2 linked regions of the Tamandua tetradactyla genome follow. The protein of the gene in region 2 purifies or fractionates together with the protein of the main gene of each other region. This does not show direct contact. Links are inferred from orthologs where the notes say so. Each region holds a gene or a part of one and is shown on either strand. Other genes may lie near its edges.

Region 1 (3,746 bases), on a different chromosome or scaffold from region 2:
AGTTCTCTTAGCTTTCCCACCCACAAATGGAAAAAAAAGTTTGTCACAAAGCAAATACAAAAGGCAAAAACATGCTCAATTATAAACTGTCCAGCTGACGAACAAAATGCTGCAAGTTTATTTGAACTTATCTCTTAGTTATCATTTTAGGTTAATTCTCAGACATTTTAGCTATAACTGGGCATACATTATGGTTCTAATTCGAAATAGTATTTAACAATACCGTAAAAAAAGTCTTATATTATTCTCTACCACCACCTGCTGGCTTACTATTTGAATAGCATTATGTGAAAATGCTAAAAATTCCAGACGCCAAAATATTTTAGGCTAATTCTTGATTGGAGATGCTTGCTGAAGTTATTTAGGGCTTAAGTGTCATAATGTTAGTAAATTTATTTTGAATTCATTAAACAATATTTATAGATGGAAAAAATATGACAAAATGTCAGTAACCGTTTGATCTATGTAGTAGGTACCATAAGGGTTGTTCATTTTAGTGGTTTGCGTTTCTGTAGGTTTTGTAAACTTCCGTAAAAAAAAAAAAAGGTCAACTTCACTAATATCAAAGTAAATGTAGCTAAGAATAACGACAACAACAAGATATTACGAACAAAAGGCTAAGCAAAAGACATACGGGTCAATTGTGACTCTAATACAAGACATCTTGGGATCCCTTTGCTTGTTGTCCGCAGCATTGACTGAAAAAAACAACAACATATTTGTAAGAAATTGAAGTACTTTTTAGAACATTAATTCAAAGATTTAGGAAAAAAATTTCCCAGACAGCACAGCAATAGCATTAACAAGGTTTTTCATTTAGAAAATTTTTGTTCAAAGCACTGCTTCTAGGAAAGAACTCAGTTTCCTGGACTCCAGAGACTACCCCACCGTCACCAACTGTTGTTTGAAATGATAGAACCTCTGGCTACAGAGGATCTGGTAAGGAATGATACTTCTTATGAAGGGTTTGACCTGTAGATCTTCATATGAAAAGAATTTACTCACCTAGAATCTCATCAAAGATTTTGTACAAACCAGGAACAAAAGTGACCTCCCTAAAGTTAATGCCAACATCTTCATCGAAAACCCACATTTGCTAGAAATAAGGCAAAGAAGTATAGTTACTTTTACTTTATATTCTTGTTTATCATCACGATTACTATAAAGTATTCTGGATTAAATACTATAGTACATATGTAATCACTTAGGCCAGTTCCAGCGATGCTGGAACATAAGAGGAAAAGTACATATTTTAACGGATAAGTAATTGCACTTAATTAGCATGTTTTACCTGGGTCACTAATTCCACAGAGCCAATGTAAGTGTCTGGGCGGAGCAAAATATGTTCCAGTTGTGTTTTCTTTTGATAGATTCTTTCAACAGACAGTCTTTTCTTAGCATCTTCATTTTTTTTAATTTTGCTGATTTGCATATTTTCATTTACAGGCTAGCAAAAAAAAACAGAAGAAAAGCATTTTTTTTTAAAGAAAAGGGCTTTTAAATCATAGATGTATCAGAAACTAATGTCTGCCATAATGATATGCTTAAACAACACAATAACAAATTGCAGTCTTTTGGTAGGTATTGGTGAAATGTACATAGTTTTGTACAAAGATGACAAGGTAAACTGCAGCTTAGCACTCAAGTGTCATTTTTAAATAGACATATTATCTCACCAAGTGTATCTGACATGAAAACATTTTCCTTGATCACGGCTCTAGATGGTATCGATAAAAACACCACTTTGTCCATCTAGTCCACAATTATTTACCAAGTGCCTACTATATTCCAAGCACATAAACAGATTCTAGCTCTGCAGCAGCAGAGTGTGAGAGATGACATCAACTGAATCATCTGGCCGCGTTCACGTTTTGAGCACAGGAAGGTCATTTTTTGAGCAACTCGGGTCTGCCAGCAACTCCAGCGGGAACGCTGAGCCAGGCGCTGCACTTTCCGAGATCAGCGACATTCAACCGCACTCTTCCCAGAGGGGAGGAGGGGAAAGCATGTGCTACTAAAGCCACACACAGCCCACGTAACGCAGATTTACCACAGAACGAACTGAATCCCGCCCCTAGAGACAGTAAAACAAAACCAACACCCTGACTGCAGTCTAGCCGATAATACTTCAATGTTAGCACCAAGAAGGGGTTTCACCTCATTCACGATCACCCAGAGTCCAGGGAATACGGGCCCTCAGCCCGTGGAGGAGTTCCGAAGCGGCGCGGGCGCCCAGGAGCCCTCACCCCTCACCGGCAGCCGGGGGGATGCCCCGATACGCTGAGGCTCCACGACCCGGGCCCTTCCGCGAGCCGTACCTGCAATGGTGACACCTCCATGGTGACAGTCGTGAAGGGGCTCGAGGACCCTGAACGTGACTAAACGGGCGTCAGCCGCGAAACGACCGGAGACCAGGCCACTTCTCTTCAGAAGCCGTCGGTTACGCGCGCTCGCCTACTCCCCTTTGAACCTCCTCTAGCCCGCCTAAGCCAGATAAGCCAATCCCTGACTCGCTTTCTCCGACGCCGTCCAGAAGAACCAATCACCTCTGTCCACATCTAAACCACCTATAAACGGCCGAGTTGGCCAGAGCCTGTTCGAATGAACCAATTAGGCAAAGGAGGCGGGTCTAAAGCGTTTTCGAAAGGCACCACTAGGCGTAGAAGCGGGGAGACAGACGGGGGATGTGGCCAGTGAGTTGGGGTCGTTCTTTCTGTGAGGAAAACACTGAAGAGAGTTCCTGTGGAAGCGGCAAGGGGTTAAAACCTGAGGTGCAAGCTGCCAGGAGAAAGTGAAGAGGGTAGAGAGGATATTTATTTCTCTGGAACCACTAACCTATTTCTAGTCTCTGCAATCTGAAAACCTCCTGAGGTAGTTAGTGAAAGGAATAGGAGTTTCAGCTCCACCTTCCTGAGGAAACTGAGCGCCAGCTTTCAGGACACAGCCTTAGAGAGTTGGCTAAGCGAAGAGGGTCCGGCGCCTATCTAACTTGCCTTCCCGAAGAATTTATTTCCAAAGAAACGATTTGTGATATAGCTGTAGTTTTTAGTTTTCGTATAGTAGGATGTAGAGAGGTCATACAAAACAGTATAACATTCAGCAGCTATGGACTGCAACTGATAAAAGGAATAGTTTATAGTTGCCGCTTCAAGGTTTTGCCAGTTTTGCAGCGAGATATGTTCAAATCTTTTCACTCAGACTGCCCGGGGATGCCTGAATACTTGTTCCTTTTGCTCTCTTCAGTGTTAAATTCTGAATTCTGCAATCCAGAATAACTGTTCACGTTTGGTGAGGAAACGCCAAATTGACAATCTTTTTAGTTTATTACTCTGAGGTATAAATGTTCGAGTGGATTTATACTTGTCAATCCACAATGTTAAGAAGACAAAAGAAAAAGGAGATGATAGAAAAAAGTAACATAATTTGATTGCTAATTCTCTCTGAAACACCCCCTTCCCAATCACTACTCCTATATTCTGCATGGGTTTCAGTCCTGGCTCCTTAATTTGCCAAGTTTTGTGGTGCTTCAGTTTCCTCTACTAAAAATTGTCGATAATAATGGTATTCCCTCAGTTCTGTGAAGATTGGTTATATGAGATGAGCGGAGGCATTTAGAATAGGAGGCTAAGGATATCAGAATCAGAAAGCAGGAATTTTCCTTAGACGGGTAATGCAATTTGTGGATTTAATTCCCCTTTTCTTCTATAGGAAACCAGAGGTTGTGAAATAACTCCAGCATGCCCTGT
Region 2 (3,746 bases):
AAAAGGAAAACGGATGCTTCTTGACACCTGAACCCTGTTAAATGCTTCATTTTTATTAGCCACTATATGAAAAAACAAAAGTTGGTTACCTCTGAAAACGATTTAAAATAACTGTTTTAGCCTCTGGAAGATTCTCAGGCCTCCGACTCCTTGCGGAGTCTAAATTACATACTATGCTAAGCTTTCTAGCACAGTTCTTTATTTCCTCCCTCAAGGACTTCAGACTTGAATAGTTTGAGCATTCCTTTAATCCTATAGAACAGTCTTCTGCAAGTTTTTCAAGTTCTTCAGTTACTGTTGCAATCACTTTAGGGCCTTGTCCTTGTATGTGGCCTTCAGAACAAAGACTAGGTCAAAATAATGAATATCGGGTACAAAGTAATCAAATTTTGTCTAGTGTGAAAGAACAGTCTATAAAATAAACCCTGACAGAATTTTTTTATACCAAAGATTTTGTGTTTTAAATGTAAAAGTAAAATAGATTTATTACTAAGTTAGTTCAGAATAAGTTTAAACACTCTGAAATACGAAAGTTTCACTAATTTAAGCAAATAATAAACAGCAGCATAATGCAATTAACCTTTCAAGCTATATCTAATATTACTTTCTTAGAAAAAAAATTAAGACAACATAAGGATATCTAAAGATATATTAATGTTAACCAAGTGACAATCAAATGGCTTCCTAAATCCTAGACAAGATACTTTAATTTAGTATCTGAAAAACATTAGCCGAGACTATCAAAGGAAACGCTGCTGTCTCTTCAAGCTGATGTCTAGTCTAAGCCACCACTATTCATGATACAAAGCTCTCATTTCACTAAAACCACTCCTCGATTTCCTTTTGCCGACCTCTGCATACCAGCAGCCCAGGCCCCCTTCATTCACCACGCAAAAACTCAGGGGGAGGGGAGACCACAGATGTCTGGAAGATACAAAGTATGAGACAATGCCTCCCTCCAAACGCCAACAGAAAACGAAGGAAAGTACTACACCAGACTGACAAAGCTCTCAAGCCGATTCAGAAGCGGTCTGTGGGAACTTAACTTCGAAAGCCTCTGTTCAAAAAGTCCTTTCCCCAGACAAAACACCGAAAGAAGTTGCCGTACTTAAATTTCATTTGGACAATTTCGCTCCACTGAAAAGAAAACTGCTCCAAAAATCAAGTTTAACTGTCACAAAACTGAGTAAATTATTTCTACGAACAACATTTTCCAAGCAGAGGCTGAATCCCGCGGTTCATTTATATGAAACCGTAAACCGCGACACCATTCCCCCCTTATTTTACCAAGGTCTCACACCCACCGCCATAAACCCAGAAGACTCCCAGTACATCAACACGCGTCGCTACTGGAATCACCTGCACGACACGAAAAGATAGAGGTACAAGACACGGATTTGATACGTGGAAACCCTCCTGGCGCATCGCACCGGCTGCACTAAGAGTTTGGTTCCTCTGAGGTTTAAAGTTGGTACGGTTTTAACAAGCTCCAATGCCAAACTCACATAGGCTGGGCATTAGAGCATGATAATAATTCTCTTGAGGAACGAAAGGAGGAATCTGGAGAGAAAGTCCAATGGCCCCATCCCTACCGCAGAGGGCACCTAGCGGGGAGTGTCCCGGCCCCAGCGCCCAAACCCCAACTCCCCTCTTGGGCTGCGAAGGCGAAGGCTCCCACCCCCACCCCGCCCCCCACCCCAGCCCCGGCGTATCCTGAGGCGCAGGGTCCCTCCCCCAAACTCGGCCGCGGCCGGGGCCCCGGACGGAAACACGGCTCCCCCTTCCCGCCCGCCATCCGGGCTCCTGGACGCATGCCTGCGGCGCCCCCTCCTCGCAAGCGGCGCCCCCCGGGTCTCCTAGGGGCAGCGCGACCGGATCCCGGGCACCGCCACCGCCCTCTACCCCCCGAGCGCGGCCCGCCCCCGCCGCCTCCCGGCGACCTCAGCCCATACCCCCAGGCTCCCCAACCCGGGCCTCCTGGCAGCGCCGGGCCCACCTCCCCGCCCGCCGCCAGGACTGCGCGCCGCGACGAAGTTTGGTTCAGAACAAGAGGCGGGAGCAGCCCTAGAAGGTTAAGGAAAGAAGCACCAAGCACCTCAGGGGTACAGGGTCCGCCCGCCGCGAGAGTCTGGGCGTCCTCGGCCTGCGGTCGGGGATCGGCGGGGACTGGAGCTCCTCGGACCTCTCACCGTCTCCGTCTCCGCCTCCCCTCACTCTCCGCTCCCAAGGCCTGGCTAACGCGCTGCCACAGACCGAGAGGCTTAAAATGGCGCCGCACAAGGACCTCTTATAAGACGCGCTGAAGCCACTGTATCCTGCCGCCGCCGGCATGGCGCGGAGCGTTCCACCGCGTGAGTGCAAGGGGCGGGGCGCGGGCGGGCGGCGGAAAGTAGTTCCAGCGACGCGAAGCCCTTCGCTGCTGCTTGTCCTTCCCGGGCCGGGTGGGCTATCCGCTTGCTCCCTGTGCGCCCCTTAGTGGGGTGGTGGGTGCTGCGCGGAAGCGGAGTGTAACTTAGGGTGGCGCCATGGTGCGAGCTGGGAAGCCGGAGTCCCCGCGGGCTGGGGTCAGGGGAGGGCAGCACCGAGATGAGCTTCCACTGTCCCTAGCCCTACGCCCCCCACCCGGTGTGTCCCCCGAGCAGATATGGGCCTCACTGGGCGCTGCCCGCGGGAGGCAGCACCTCGGCCCGGGCCCTCGGGGACCGCGCGGAGCTGGTGGACTTGCAGGGCGGGTCTCGGGAGGATGGAAGTTTGGGTCTGGGCCCGGCAGGCATCGACTGCTGCCTGGACGCCGCCGCTGCCCCCCCACCTCCCTCGTCCCGCTGTCTGTTCGGAGGCTCCGGCGGGGAGAGAGTTAGGGGCTTCCGCCGCCTTTCCGCTCTGTGCCACAACGCTAGGCGCAGGGCCTGGCTCGCAGCCTACGCGCCCGCCACCCCAAAGAGCCCCCAGCTGTCCGAATCGTGGACCCCGCGTCCCAGTCCGCTGTTCACCGTGGCTGTGGCCGTGACTGACCAGGGCCGAGCCACCTACTATCCCACTCCCGAAAGCTGTGAACTCTCGTTAGAATGTGCGCCAAGCCCGCAATTCAACAAGTCCTTATAAATGCCTACTGTGAACAAATGACTAATCAAAATGGATTAGCTGGAGACCCCTGCCAATTAGGTTAATTTTTATAGATTCCATTTTTATCTAGTTCCACTAAGTATCAGATTTATTTGTGGAGGTGAATTTCTCCGGTAGTACTTATTTGAGAAATCCGTGTGTGTTTATAGAAGGGGCTACCGATTAGGCAGGTTCGATTTTTTTTAAAAACTAGTTTTCTATTCAAAAACAACAACAACAAAAAACCCATTTTCTAATTCGTTTTGATAGGCTGAAGTTGGGTCTTCATGTCCTTTGGAAATGCCTCCATTGTAAGCAAGCAAGATTGGCATTTGTCGAAACTGAAACAATTATGATTGATTCACTTTCTTTAGTCTCATTTTATGTTTTTTTTTTTCCTGTAAAACGATGGGGAGAGTACAACCAGCAACAGTGAAAGTTATCTTGGGGCTTTTATCCTAGGACTATAATTAATGAATACAAACAATAGCCTTTGTACATAAGTACAGGCATGAAACCTATTTAGTCATTCACTGAAGAAGTGAAGGGTAGTTTTAGGCATAAGTAAGTGCTTCAAGGCCAATATGGTCTTTAAATAACTTTTTTTGTCTGCTTTAGATATTTTACTGTATACAGTGGTGATG

The links. Proteins that work in one complex are often made in the same cells at the same time.
Region 1: the proteins of CTNNB1 (region 2) and TOP2A purify together in Homo sapiens (affinity purification with mass spectrometry; 3 studies listed by BioGRID and IntAct, with this or other methods). This does not show direct contact. The link is inferred for Tamandua tetradactyla from reciprocal best matches to the Homo sapiens genes CTNNB1 and TOP2A.

The regions. Positions count from the first base shown.
Region 1 is NC_135332.1:26,944,602-26,948,347, reverse strand, and holds the start of TOP2A (DNA topoisomerase 2-alpha), read right to left. Parts: upstream 2,484-3,746; 5' UTR 2,340-2,483; coding exon 2,319-2,339; intron 2,300-2,318; exon of another isoform or gene 2,158-2,299; intron 1,448-2,157; coding exon 1,292-1,447; intron 1,097-1,291; coding exon 1,006-1,096; intron 699-1,005; coding exon 635-698; intron 1-634. UniProt on the Homo sapiens protein: Key decatenating enzyme that alters DNA topology by binding to two double-stranded DNA molecules, generating a double-stranded break in one of the strands, passing the intact strand through the broken strand, and religating the broken strand.
Region 2 is NC_135341.1:46,095,054-46,098,799, forward strand, and holds the start of CTNNB1 (catenin beta-1), read right to left. Parts: upstream 2,297-3,746; 5' UTR 2,096-2,296; exon of another isoform or gene 1,886-2,095; intron 1-1,885. UniProt on the Homo sapiens protein: Key downstream component of the canonical Wnt signaling pathway.